Schizosaccharomyces pombe: one gene and its partner. The protein of the gene in region 1 interacts with the protein of each later gene in a pairwise test. Each region holds a gene or a part of one and is shown in the gene's direction. Other genes may lie near its edges. The genes, in order: cwp1 and arg7.

Region 1 (7,474 bases):
CAATGTTGCCGAAACATCTATTACCATTCCTAATATTCGATACGTTGTTGATTGTGGTAAGGCAAAAGAGCGCGTGTATAATGAAAAGACTTCTGTTCAAAAATTTGAAGTACGATGGATTAGCAAAGCAAATGCTGATCAACGTGCTGGTCGTGCTGGTCGTACGGGACCAGGTCACTGCTATCGTCTATATTCGTCTGCGGTGTTTGATAGCTCTTTTCCCTTGCATTCTTTGCCTGAAATTCTGCGTACTCCGGTCGAAAGCATCGTACTTCAAATGAAAAACATGAACATTGATAACATTGCAAATTTCCCCTTTCCAACTTCTCCAGGTCGTAGTAGGCTTGAAAAATCGTTAAAACTCTTGTCAAATCTAGGGGCTATTGATAGCGAAGGGGTTCTTACCAAACTAGGAGAACAAATGTCCTTATTTCCTCTGTCTCCTCGATTTTCGAAAATGTTAATTATTGGTCAGCAGCATGGTTGCCTACCTTATGTTATTGCATTGGTTTCAGCATTGTCTATAAACCAGCTTTTTGTGTCAAAGCAATCTCTTTTATATGATGCTCATGACAAAAATTCTCGTAGCGAAGAAACTGATCTGATTGATGATGACGAAATCAAGCAAAAGGAAGAATATAAAAATAGAATGCGTGGATACTTTAATGCAATATCGAGATTTCAAGCTATAGACCCTGATGCGCCTGCCTTGAGTTTGTTAAGTGCTGTGTGTGCGTATGACTATGCTTCTGATAAGAGAAAGTTTTGTAAAGAGAATTATCTGCGAGAAAAAGCATTGGAAGAAGTCACCAATCTTCGTAAGCAAATTATTGGTCTACTAAAAAGATATATGGTTAGAGTCGAAAAAGAATTTTTCAAGTTACAGCTTAAGCCTCCAACTAGTGTACAAATTAAAGCACTCAGACAATTTATTGCTTCTGCATATATTGATCAAGTTGCTCTATATGATAAAGAGAAGCGTGGATATGTTACACTTTTCCCGTCTGGTTCCGAGGTTGTTCAATTCGTACCTGATAGAACTTATAATATTGATTCTGAATATGTTGTCTATCTTAGTCTACATGAAAGCAGAAGTGGTCGTGTTTACATGTCTCCTTTAACTGAAATCAGCCCAGAACATTTGGCTAGACTTGCTAAAAATACTACTCTTTTGTCTTACTCGAAACCCCTTTCATATCCACCAATTCGGTACCTGGATAATGCAACAAAACGAGAGTGCTGGGTTATTCCTATTCTAAGTGCCAATATTGGAACAGGATCACCTTCGTGGAATCTACCAGCCGTGCAAATCATACAAAAACGGATTAATGGGCGTTGGGTGAATTGTTAATTTTATCATTTTGTTCAAGATTTAAAAAGAAATTTAGAAGAAACAAAAATTTATTGATGACAGTTTTTCTAGCTAGATTTTTTAGATTGATCACATGTGATTTTGGTTATATTAGGGACATAAATAATAATTTGGGATACGGTTTTTGATATGAGATTTGGAACTTGGGATGCAAAAAAAAAAATAATAATAAAGGACTCAAAATTGTTAACAGGAACATAAGATATATTACTTATGTAGATGTCGAAGGGACAGCACCTCCCATGTCAATATCCATGCTATCATGAGTAGGTAGATTAGACATTTGAGCAGAATGAGTGGAATTAGTAATGGGGGTATCGTTGTTATTCATAGGATCATTAAGTTCATCATAGTCATCATCAAGCTCTTCAATAATGACCGAACTATTCGGTTCATTGACGACTCCATCGTAGGTATTATAATGTACTGGTTCTTCAACCGTCCATGAAGGATGGACTTCTGTAGGGTGATACTTCACTAGTTGTTTACTATCTGTAGGATAGTAATGTGAAGCAAAATGCCAAGTCGTTGGGTAATTAGAATTCAAGGAAGATATATAAGGATGTGCGGATTGAATACCAAAAGGAAGCATCTTCAAGCGATGAGGATGTCTAACGAGGGATTTTGATACGGCACTCTTGTTTCGATCATCATCGATATCTTCTGTTTGCTTGTCGAGTATTTGCCCTGTTGCAAGGTCAATAACTTGACCCGATTTGTCAGGATGATCGGACTCTAAAGATACTCTCTTTCGAGCAATTTCGTTCCACTCATTATTTTGTGTACTAGGAACAAGGCTATTTTGAGACGGCTCAATAACCAACAGGTCTTCTGCCCTTGGTCTTTTTTTGCTAGTACTAGAATTCTGGGGAACCAAATTGTAAGGCAAACTACTGTAAGGAGTTTTGAAGGCAGGAGGCGTGTCTGGAGTTATGTCTGATAAAGCGGCTTGTTTGGAAGTTGGGACAAAAGAATGCAATCGCGGTCGTTTCAAAGGAAAGTTTAAATGACTAACTTCTTTAGTTGGAGTGGTCGTACTGTTTTCATTTTGCAACGGGACAGATATCATAGAGTCTTGTGGTCTTTGACGCTTCATGGGCGAAATGCGAGTAGTAAATTAAAAACAAAATAATGTAAAGACAACAAAAAGTAATAAATAATGTTTGAAATGAGAAAAAAATCTAAATAAATCTGTTATGATGTTTTAGTCTAAAACCTAGAGGTAATACAGACTGCCGTAGTAACTTCCTTTAGTTCTAAATTATTTCGGTAAGTACAAACCCACAAACCCGTTCTCAAAATTGAATTAAAAAACACCGACAAATAAAGATCAGTTAATTTTTGAGTTTTTCAATTCAATAAAATTTCAGTCATCTATGTTGGTGAAGGTTGCACATTATGAGCTAAATCTAAATTTCGTCTAGTGCATGAAGTCAAGCATAATTAACCATCTAGAAAAATCCAGCAAAGTCGAAAACATTTAGAAGTCATTGCTTTCTTAGAAGACACGTTTTAATTACTTTTAATTAAATTTTTATTAGCGCAAATTCTGGTTGGTCATATATTCTGTAAGGGAAAAGTAAGTAGTAATATAAATTTGACATGACTTTTCAAAGCAGCTTCGAACCCTTTTTAAGATGTTAATTTAATTTACTGAATATTAATGGAAGGTTTGGATCAATTAAAAAATATTAAAATGCTTTAAATGCTATTATTGTTGCAACATTTCATTGTAAGTATATGTAAATAATCGGAATGTCAGATTTCAACTTAAGAAATTAAAAATTGAGTAGATCAGGAGATTATAAAGAAATAATTTGCTTCGGCATTGCTATATATTTTTTTGGAGATACTAACAAATGACATTTCATGACTCTGGTGATTAGGTTCTCGTTTTAAACTAAAATAATCATTGAAACGCATATCAATATATTTTTCTATATCGTGTTGTTCACCAGAAGCCTTCAATGCTTTATATAGGTGTTCAAATAATTTGCATGAATCTCTTTAATCCTCATCAGTTTTAATCGCTAGGATGCTGAAGATACAGATTTCTCATAGGCAATTTGTAATCACTAGTCATTCGTTTTGTACGACCAAAGCGCATCTATCCGGACAGGACATGAATTAGGTATTATTATAAACTCACAACATTTCATACTCTACTTAAAATTAGATGGGTTTTGCAATTACTTGATGTACTTGATGTTTTTTTTATTGTGCTCAAACTGAAAATATAACACCGGTTTAATTAATAGGCAATACTGAAATACCACGAATTGGTCGGTGATACTCATATAACCTGTACGTTTGAAGTTTTATGAATATACTCCGTTGCCTACAATAAAATTAATAAAAGACTATGATAAAAGTTTGAAATAAATCACATATTGTAAACATGGTAATCCTAACTCACTATTCATCTACTTACTCTCCTTAGTTAACCCACCATCACACCTGAACAATAGTACGCACTAAACAAAGAGACTCATTGTTTTTCGAGTTGATAATTTAGAAAAACCTGACAATCCTTTTTAATAAAACACTTATAATTAAATTTTCGGCCTTTAAGTATTTGTTTCTTTGAGTTGAGAATTGTACAACGGATGCCAAATTAATGAAATGGATCCCATTGATCCCGAGTTAAATGAAATTTTGGATTTTACAGAATATGGACCATTAACACCCATTCCTCAGGATGATGGCGAAAACCCATTAGCGAAAATTTGCTACACGACAGGATATGAACAAGGAATGGCTTATTTTCGTGCCATTATGGCTAAAAAGGAGTACTCCTTGAGAGCACTTAATTTAACAGGTTTCTTGATTATGAATAATCCAGCTCATTATACAGTATGGGCTTATAGATTTCAAATCCTAAACCACACGCCCAGTTACATAGACAATGAATTAGAATGGCTCGATGAAATTGCCGAAGATTTTCAAAAAAACTACCAGGTTTGGCATCATAGGCAAAAAATACTTTCTTTGACTAAGAATTATGAGCGTGAACTTGAGTTTACGAAAAAGATGTTTGAAATTGACAGTAAAAATTATCATGTCTGGTCCTACCGAGTTTGGATCTTGCAAAATTTTAATGATTATTCTCAAGAGCTGAAGTTAACCAACGAATTATTGGAAAAAGACATTTATAACAATTCGGCTTGGAATCATAGATTTTATGTTTTGTTTGAAACCTCCAAGGTGGTTTCTTGGTCTTTGGAAGAGGAACTGAATTATCTGAAAGACAAAATCCTTTTTGCTCCTGACAATCAGAGTGCTTGGAATTATTTGTGTGGGTAAGTATCTCTCATTTCCATTAATTACATTCTTCATTAACTTTTTTACAGTGTACTTGACAAATCAGGACCTTCAAAACTTGATAATCTCATAGCTAATCTCCGAAAAAATTTGCCTGCTTTACACAAGCCACTCTTAGAGTTTTTAGCTATGTACGAGCCTTCGTCGTCTGAAGAGATTTATCAAAAACTAGCAAATGAGGTTGACGTACCGCATGCCGCTTTATGGACATGGATGTCCCAAAGGAGCAATCCTTAAATCTATGCTTTGAATGCTAATTGGGTTTACTGATATTTTGATAAAGCATCTTGTTTAAAATTCCTACTAATTAAGAAAGTAGTTGTGATGTATAGTGAATCGTTTATGAAATCAATAACATTAGTCATTCCTCCAATTGTAAGTTTCACATAATAGTGAACAAGTAATGGTTATTAGGCCAAACAAAGAATAAAAAAAATGTCAGAGGCATATTTTTACTTTTCTTTCTTAAGGTTTCTTCGAACAAGTTCCAAAAATCTATAGATATGTTAGTGTTCGCACAATCAATGGAATACATTCAAAAAAACATACGCAGGATCATTTTGAATTCCAGATTTTTTAAATATCTCCGTGATAGTTTCAGCTAACTGCTTGAATTCCGGATCACGAGTAATCTTTAGGATAGTAAGAGGTGACGGTTTTGAACCAGCTTCAAGGCCGTATTTCTCAAAAAACTGACGAAGACGGCCAACCTTTTGAGCAAGTTCCGGATCATTAACAACTAATGAACTCATTTTCTCTTCAAGTTTCTGGACTTGCTCATCCATTACTGGATCCTTGAAAATAGTGTCGTCAGGTTGCGTAGTCGCACTTCTCTTCCATGTTAATATACTAGGAAACCTATTCCTATACAGAAGAGCATTGTTGTATGTAAGAGGCCTTCTGATAGTCAGCTGAGACAAATACTTCCAATATTTCATATTTGTAAGGTGGTGGTTAATTTTGTGTTCTAAAGAAGTATGAGGGATTAGGGAATGTGTCGCTCAGATAAGCTTGCTGCGGCAAATTAATACAAACTCTAAACGAAATGAAATCTTTGTTTTGGATACGTATTATTCACTCATAATTCTAAAATTTTGACTGGCAATATAATACTTTGATTCTTCCTGTTGTAGAACTATATTGTCTCTTAAAGGAAGTTAGTAGAGGATCTTAGTACAAGAAGGTAAATACAATAAAAACTGACATACGAAAATACATGAGGTTTTTTTCCATCGAAACGTATTGTTCCTGAAACAACAATTATGATATTCATATCATTACCCATGACCTGTTGACTATCGAAATCCTCAACTTTAGTTTTGGAGTATGGAAGATTAACTATCATAGAGGTAAATTCGGTTACTTGCATGGGTTTTCCATTCCATAAGATCAAACTATTTTCTCTGTAAAATTCTGCGATCCCATTTCTGTTCGTATCAAGAGATGAGTAATACCGTTGGACGAACTCCTGCGCATCTTTAATTGTTAGTTTATAGATAAAGCTTTAGTAATGCGGCATTTAACATACATTTTACACTCGACTCCATAATGATTCACAATGACAGAAATTTGTAGTGGTGTAAGTAGTCATTTAAACAGGTACATGTGTTATAAATTGAAATATTGTACTCATTAAGCGATATTTAAAGATAATCTTTGTTCAACACACTGAATGGATATTTCGGCTAGATATCTTTATGACTACGATTTTTACTTATAACATGAAGAGTGGAGAACAATTATGTGTACTCATTTGCCATACTACAAAAGCATAGATCACGTAAAAACTCAACGAATGATTAATATATTAGTAAAAAAATATATATTCGAATGTAACATGATAACTCGAAAGACAATTTGTTGTAAATGAAAACAAAAAATAAATATATGTTCGAAGAAATAGGTCATTAAAAGCCATGGTATGGCAAGCGAAGAAGATGGGAGAATAAGTGGTTTAAAGCTGAATCAACATTTTTTTGACTCAGAAATGCATTGGAAACAAAATGCTTTTTTACAAGTGCTGGAAGAATGAGGGTTCTGAGTGCTACTTCCTGAGAACGAAGTTTGTTGACTTAAAGGTTGAAAACCAAGATTAAAATGATGGGTAGAAAGATTAGGTCGAGGGGATATCATTGAAATTAATGAAATAAAGTTTCTTCGTTTTGTAGAATTGGAGTTTCGGACTTTTGACTTAGAAAAAGATCTACGTAAAGGAGTTTTAGGAGATGATAATAAAGGGTTCCTTCTTCTCGGTGAAGATAAAGTATCAGAGATGACGTGCAAAATCTCATTTTGTTCTATGCTTTTATGCTTGATTGTATCCAAACCACGCTGATCTGTTAATGTTCCTGATGAGTTTGGCAACAGACAAGATTTTTTTTCCAAAGCTGAAGCATCAACTTTTCTTGTTTTATCATTGATTTTTAGTCTCACGCATGACTGAGAGGGTATAGTTTCATTACAAACATTTTCCACAAAAAGTGAAGCTAAAGGAACTTCATCTGCAAACACACAATCTGACACCATTTCATCACGAAGTGATAGATTTTTAAATTTATAGATCTGGGGAGACTGAAAATCCTCTATATGGACTGGTGAAACAGCTTTTTCCCCTGGGTTGCCAATGCTTGAGTCTAATTTTTTTTCGTATCCATTTGACGCTGAGATTTCAAGGTTGTTAAATGTAGGATCCCATATATCATCTTTTGTTTTTAAAGCTTCTAGATGTCCATTATTAACAATAATTTCACCAGTTGCAAGATCTACTTCATCAGCTATATC
Region 2 (7,791 bases), on another chromosome or scaffold:
TTAAATTAAATGGGACAATTCCAAAGAATGTTGATTTCGAAAATCAACATATATTTACTGCTTGTGTTGAAATTTACTTATCGTATTGTATTACTCAACTATACTTTTACGATCCTCTTACAAATTATGAAACATGCCTAGAAATTGCACGGAAAGCTGCAGATGCCATAAGAAGCTACTTCATGGTTATTGAACCAATTTTTAAAAAGATTTGTTACTTATGGTTGTTTCTCTATTGTCCTTTTACACCTTTTCAAATCCTTTTTTCCAATATCCTAAAAATGGAAAAAGGTACCAGTGATGAAAAAATCGAGGACTTGGATCGAATGTATTCACTCTATCGGTTTTTTGTCGAAATGAAGGAGATTAACGGAGAGTTTGCTGACAAATTATCTCGCGTTGCTTTGGATTGTATTGATGCTGCAGAACATTATTTAGAACTTAAATCTTCTGTCGGTTCCAACATTTTTGAACTGGAGAGTTTGTTGGTGTAATCTTCTTTCTTTGAATACTTATTATAAATATTACTTTTCTACATTTCGAGAATCGTCAAAAGGATTTTCGCATGTACTCAGTAAGGTTTTAAAAAAAATGAACCAACTACAAAGAGTTGTTTCAACGTAAACAATAAAAAAAATTCAGCATATGCAGCCATTGAGTATTTGCTTACAACAGAAGCAATTTATTTATTAGTGGTAGATTAAAACTTTTATTTGTTTCATATTGAAAAGAAAATGAACCAAGCTCATATATTCCTTATTGAAATATTTCAAGGCGCACACTATTCTCTGTGTTTTTTTTTTTCATATCACCATTTTAATCGATTGCAAATGTAATCAAAAACTTTTGTCAACATTTTCCAATACTTGTATTTAAACACTTTTGCTTCAAAGACGATCACTAGTTATCTTAGATCCGTGGATCATCATTCCGACTTCCACGGCTGGGGCATAGTAAGATGACAAAAATTAAAGTCTCGTTTCTTTAACCTCTCCATAGTTGACCCGTGGAACGGAATTTGCTCCAAATCGGAAATCTCAAAAAATGCTCATATCTGTTCCTATTGTATCCAAATGGGACCGTAGTCAGTAGACGTGCATATCCATGGATTGATCATGATTTCCCACCGCCCAAAGTGAAATATGACAGTAATCAATGAATGATTAAACTGGCCAAAGAAGTTTATAAAGGCTTCCTTGTCATATCACTACTTCAATTTTTCTTTTGAGTCTATCGCATATTTTTGACAATATGATCCGGAATAGTGAGGATTTTAGCCATCATTTGTCGAGAGAAAGCAAGGCTCGTGAGAAAGGCCCTTTTCAAATGTTAGGAAGAATTAAAAGTAGTACAGGGATTGACGCTATATCTTTTTCCTCAGGTTTACCTCATCCTAACAAGTTTGCTATCCGTGAGCTTTCTATCAAGTTTCCTCAACTTGGTTGCTTTAAGGAGGAAAATGGGACATACGCCAAAGAGGTTAATGTAACATTTAACATAAAAGCTGATCCTTCTGAGGGTCTTTTAAATTTCTCTCAGTCCTTGCAGTATGGCCAATGCCAAGGAATTTCTGAATTGGTGGGATTTATAAAGGAACACATTCGGCGGATTCATGCTCCCCGATACGAAAACTGGGATATTAAGATGAGTAATGGTAATACAAGTGGTTTGGAATATTGTTTACGACTGCTAGTCAATTATGGGGATCATGTCTTGACAGAAAAGTACACTTATCCTGCTGCCATCACCGCAATGCGAGCCCTAGGTGTTCAATTTGTATCTGTTGATATGGATTCGGAAGGTATGCTTCCTGAAAGTCTTGAAGAAATTATGAGAGACTGGGATATATCTCTGGGACCTAGACCTCATGTCTTGTACACAGTTCCTACTGGTCAAAATCCTACTGGTTCTACTTTGTCATTAAGTCGGCGCAAAAAGCTTTTAGCATTAGCAAGGAAATACGATATCATCATCGTTGAAGATGAGCCATACTATTTTCTACAAATGGAAGATTATAACGGAAGTTTAAACCCTGCACAGCAAAAATGTGATGGGTCAACGTTTTTAAAGAGTTTGGTCCCTTCATTGCTAAGTTTAGACACAGAAGGTCGAGTTTTGCGACTTGATTCGTTCTCTAAACTGATTGCTCCAGGAACCCGCCTTGGCTATATTACTGGAAATTCAATGTTTATTGATCATATTACACGGATTGCAGAAGTATGCACGGAAAGCCCGTCTGGTATTTGCCAATCTGTATTGTATGCAATGCTGCATAATTGGGGTCAAGAGGGCTTTTGTGCATGGTTACAGGAGCTGCAATATTCTTATACTGTTCGTCGAAACGCATTCCTTAATGTAGCAAACAAGTATCTACCAAATTCTGTTTGTATTTATCACGTACCAAGAGCTGGATTATTCTTGTGGGTTGAGTTAAACTTAAATCATTACCGCTTTTCGGATACGAAAAAGTCAGTTTCCCAAATTGAAATGGAAATATTCCTAGCGCTTGTAGAAAAAGGTGTAAAAACTGTTTGTGGTCAGTTTTTTATGGCAAATCCAGAACGTAGTACTAAGATCTTTTTCCGTTTCGCATATTCAATTGCTGACTTTGAGGACTTTGAGGAGGGAATTAAGCGATTTACATCAGTCATAAATGAGCATTTTAATGTCGAAAGCAGAGTACGAATCTGCCCTTGAATCATCTATAAAAGTCAAAGAAATATTGTTTCCTTGGAAATATATGAATTTTGAAAGTGCAGATTATTTTAAATTGTGTTCTACTTAATAATCACTTTTAGGAAGGTTTCAGATTTTGAGACAAATATGTTTATAAAAAGTATGCCGGCCTTGCACTTAACACTGTTTAAAAATTTGTCAAGAGGAACTGACCCTGTGATTTTTACTATTTGTACTTAAATATTATGTGCTTCGTGATCAGTGTTTGCATTTTTACTTAGATCGTCAATAGTCTGACCAAGTTGAAATATTTCTTTTAAATTTACGTTAAGCATTTTGACAACAGCTCAAGATCCTAATGTAGCTAATTCTTTCATTAGTGTGTCGAAAGTAATGCTGGTTAGCACGAGTAGGTTTTTCAAATGCATAGCTCGTATAATAAATTATTTCAACAATGTGCAAATGTATTATGAAAAATTCCATAACTAATGAGAAATGGTAATATATTACAACTCAATTTTCTACTTTAATTTGTTCCCTATTATTAGAGTAATTTGCTCTGAATAAAGATATGCAACTTAACTTGAGATGACTTAACTTTTTAAACAATAAAGAATGTATTATTTATTCATTATTGTAAAAATTAGGCATGTGTCTGGGAATTTCATTGCTAGCGAACATCTGTTTTTGATTTTGTAAGTGGATGCTTCCACACCTCACTTCGAAACAGCCTTTTGGAAGAAATTTCATCAAAATGGTGTTGAATACTTGAATTTGCTATGTAAAGTAAAGAAAAAGAAAAGAAAAATATGAAACTCAACTTCTAGGTGGCTAATTTCAATTTCGGTATTCGTCTACAAAAATTCCGACTCTATTGATCATTTGGCAAAGCGTTTTCCAAACTAACTATCTAGTATTTGGTAAAATAACTTGCTATTTAGCAGTGGATCAACTTTCAATAAGAGCTTGATTGTTGAGTACTTGCTATCCACGGATGTTATTTTGACCCATATTCGTATAGTGTTATCTAAACTAGAGAAAAAAGCTAAAATGATAAGTGCGAATATCTGAGAAGAAAAAGTCATTTCTTCACGCTATTATATAAGTAAAGGAAAATTAGACCATCATTTGTAGACTGAAAATAATATTGAATAAAAGCATCTTGGCACTATGGCAGAAAAATCAAGCAAAAAACTATGGGGAGGTAGATTTTCAGGAGCTACTGATCCACTGATGGCAGAATTCAACAAATCCATCTATAGTGGAAAGGAAATGTGCGAAGAAGATGTTATTGGTTCCATGGCGTACGCAAAAGCCTTGTGCCAGAAAAATGTGATATCTGAAGAAGAGCTGAATAGCATCCTAAAAGGATTGGAACAAATTCAAAGAGAATGGAATTCGGGTCAATTCGTTTTGGAACCATCCGACGAAGATGTTCACACAGCAAACGAGCGCCGATTAACTGAGATAATCGGTGATGTTGCTGGCAAGCTACATACTGGCAGAAGTCGTAATGACCAAGTTACCACCGATTTGCGTTTATGGCTATGCAGAAAAATCAAAGAGGTTGAAGTCTATGTCATTAACTTGCTTAAAGTTTTTACCAACAGAGCTGAGATGGAGATTGATGTAATAATGTCAGGTTATACGCATTTACAAAGGGCTCAGCCTGTTCGTTGGTCCCATTTTCTCATGTCTCACGCCTTGCCTTTATTAGGTGACCTTGGCAGACTTCGTCAGCTGTATACTCGTGTAAGTCAATTACCGCTGGGTGCTGGTGCTTTAGCTGGCAACCCTTTCAACGTCGATCGCGAGTTCCTTCGTAAAGAGCTTGGATTCGAAGGCATTATCATGAATTCCATGAATGCTGTTGGTGATCGTGATTTTGTCATCGAATTTATGTTTTGGGCAGGCATGGTAATGCTTCACATTTCTCGCTTTGCTGAAGATCTTATCATATATTCGAGCTCGGAATTTGGATTCGTCACACTCTCCGATGCGTATTCTACGGGAAGTAGTATTATGCCCCAAAAAAAGAACCCTGATTCTTTAGAGCTACTTCGGGGTAAGAGCGGTCGTGTTTTAGGTGATATGATTGGCCTCATGATAACTGTTAAAGGCACACCTACAACCTATAACAAAGATTTGCAAGAAGACAAGGAACCACTATTTGATGCCTTTAAGACCGTCTCTGACTCTTTGCAAATTTTGACTGGCGTTGTCTCAACCCTTACCATCAATCCTACAAAGATTGCCGAAAGCTTGACCCCCGATTTACTAGCTACCGATTTGGCTGAGTATCTTGTTCGTAAAGGTCTTCCATTTCGCCAAACTCATCATATTTCGGGATCCGCAGTTCGCATGGCTGAAGAGAGAAACACTACTCTCGACAAGTTATCAGTTTCTGATTTGCAATCATTGCATCCTTTATTTGATGAAGACGTTTCAAAAGTCTTTAATTACGAAGAAAGTGTTGAAAAAAGATGTTCAATTGGTGGTACTGCTAAGCATTGTGTTCAAGAACAAATCGAGCATATACGATCAGCAATTCTTTAAAAACTATGTCTTTCTTTTTAATTTAATAAACAGGTTTTCTATAATTGTCTATAAATAAAATACCTTTTCTCTCTGTTAGTTTTTTTGTACATTTAGTAAAATGGGTTCTTCATGCATATTTAATTAACGCAATTAAAGAATTTTTATAAGAGCTGCATGAAAGAGGTATCCACAATAACAATAAGGTATAGTACTTTTATATTTATGGCAAATAACTTCCTCTTAAATGGTTTTTCGATTACCTATTCAATTTATGATTTCAAGCTCTGTATTCAGCTCTTGTAATTAAAGTGGTGCTAAAAGCAAATATAAAAAATGGTGTATGATATTTTCCTAATTAAGTTACTAAAAATCTAATTGCATAAAATCACATTTTTTCGATGTTGTGAATAAATGATTTTGCAAAACAATGCAGAGAGACACGTTTGGAAATGAAATATAATTAAAAATTCTTGAGTCTTCTGTATTACTTAGAACATAATTAGAATATGCAAATAAAAATAATTAAAAGACCTTTTCATCTCTTAACGGTTCATAAAAAAAGAGATAAATATTTTATAAAAATGATTCCAAGTGTATCTTACTCATATAGTGTCTAAATACTCATTCAAAACATAACCAAATAGGATCAATGCTTAATTAGCAAAATCACGCTGATTGAATTCCAATTATGTTAAATTTTTTAAGCCTCAATGAAAAAAAGGAGAATTAATTCTTTTAATTTAAATTTTCATTTTATTAAGTAGTCTTTTTAAAATTATAAAAAATAAATATATCGTTATATAAAGTTACTTTTCTTTAACGGCTTTAATATTTTTATAATTTCTTAGTCCGTTAAATCAATAGTGGTAATCTTTAGAGAAAAAAAGGTAGATTAATGTTGCAAGTTGTACACCCCAAAATGGCACCTTCATACTCCGACTTCTATCCACGGATGTAAGATCCGTGGATGAGAAAATAAGAAAATCTGGGGATTTTCATGTTGATTGTATGCATACCTGATGCGAAATTTCAACCTATTCTACCCACGGAAGACCAAGTTGGAAATTGAATCTGAGACAAAATGCTGTAGATACTTGTAAAATAAGTATTTTGCAAACTAATCTGTCAAATTTGTTGACTTGTTGCAGCCCTTTGTCTGCTAAAATCAACATAGTTGTAGCTTATCTGGTTTGTATCAATGATAATGCTTTGACGCTTTCAATTATATAAAGGACGAAGGAAAGTTCAAATATTTATTATTGTGCTTACATTCACAACAATTACTACTAATCTCATCATGGAGAAGACAGAAGAAGAAAATTACAGTATTAAGGAGTTGGGTGAAAAAGGATCAGACAGCCAAGAGGATGTTGCTGTGATTTTTGCAGAGAAACATCCCATTATTGACAAATCGCTAAATCGAAAACTCAAATTAAAGACAGATTTATGGGTTATGCCACTTCTCTGCCTCATTTCAGCATTTCAATATATGGACAAATCCACCAGTAATTATTCATCAATTATGGGTATTCGCACCGATTTAAATATGGTGGGCAATCAATACAATTGGGTTGGTACGTCTTTTTATCTTGGTTTTATGGTATTCTCGTTACCATTATCCACTCTGTTACAAAAATTTCCTCTTAGCAAAGTAACGTCTGCCTTCATTGTGGCCTGGGGTATATTAATGACCTTGACTTGCCTGGTGCATTCTTATGCTTCCTATATCGCTACTCGTACTTTGTTGGGTATATTGGAATCAGTTATTACGCCAGCTTTTGTTTTGTTTATTGCACAATGGTATAGAAAAGAAGAACAATTTTTTCGTATGGCATTCCTTGTAGCCTGGAATGGACTTGGTGGTCTTATTGGAGGAAGTATGTCTTACGGCTTGTATAAACGAGAGCTTGAAAACAATTTAACCATGTCCCCTTGGAGAATCTTATTTATTATCACTGGATTGATTACCATAATTAACGGGGTTTTCATATTTATTCACATTCCCGATGAACCCTCCAAAGCTTGGTTCTTGAGTGAAAAGGAAAAGGATCTTGTCCTCAAGCGTTTAGACACTGATCATGCAGGGCTTGGCAGCAAAAAGTTTAAGAAATACCAAATATTGGAAGCTTGTCGAGATGTACGTATGTACTTATACTTTTTCCTACAAATAGCCGTTGCTATCCCTAATGGTGGGCTTTCAAATTTTAGTAGCATCATGTTAAAGAATCTTGGCTACGTAAAAGGTAAGGCATTGCTTATGAATATGCCCACTTCCTCCATTTCGTTTGCTGCCTTAACTTTGTTTGGCCTTATCCCAGAGTTTACGAATAGACGAATGGATATTGCTTTGGTTGGCCTGGCTATTAACTTAACTTCCGGATCACTTATTGCATTTGCAAAACCTACACATGCACAACTTGCAGGATACTGGTTGTTTGGCATTTCACCAATTCCATATATTTGCATCCTTAGCTGCATTTCGTCTAATAGCGCAGGCCACACCAAAAAAGTTTTTATGAGCGCTGTTTCCATGATTGGATATTGCGTTGGAAATATGGTCGGCCCCCAAACATTTAG

What was found.
Region 2: the proteins of cwp1 (region 1) and arg7 interact in a two-hybrid assay, tested with the Schizosaccharomyces pombe proteins (one large-scale study listed by BioGRID).

What each region holds. Positions count from the first base shown.
Region 1 is NC_003424.3:1,862,129-1,869,602, reverse strand, and holds cwp1 (geranylgeranyltransferase type 1 alpha subunit Cwp1), read left to right. Parts: upstream 1-3,831; 5' UTR 3,832-3,994; coding exon 3,995-4,671; intron 4,672-4,722; coding exon 4,723-4,930; 3' UTR 4,931-5,052; downstream 5,053-7,474. Other genes in the region: dhx37 (ATP-dependent RNA helicase Dhr1), read left to right, coding at 1-1,351; SPOM_SPAPB1A10.05 (uncharacterized protein), read right to left, coding at 1,584-2,468; protein dpc13, read right to left, coding at 5,146-5,188, 5,243-5,631; mRNA export receptor Nxt1, read right to left, coding at 5,841-6,169, 6,222-6,240; CENP-A histone chaperone Scm3, read right to left, coding at 6,659-7,474. UniProt on the Schizosaccharomyces pombe protein: Catalyzes the transfer of a farnesyl or geranyl-geranyl moiety from farnesyl or geranyl-geranyl diphosphate to a cysteine at the fourth position from the C-terminus of several proteins having the C-terminal sequence Cys-aliphatic-aliphatic-X.
Region 2 is NC_003423.3:309,451-317,241, forward strand, and holds arg7 (argininosuccinate lyase), read left to right. Parts: upstream 1-3,806; 5' UTR 3,807-3,846; coding exon 3,847-5,232; 3' UTR 5,233-5,311; downstream 5,312-7,791. Other genes in the region: SPOM_SPBC1773.12 (transcription factor), read left to right, coding at 1-494; SPOM_SPBC1773.13 (aromatic aminotransferase), read left to right, coding at 1,252-2,697; dal52 (dipeptide transmembrane transporter), read left to right, coding at 6,512-7,791.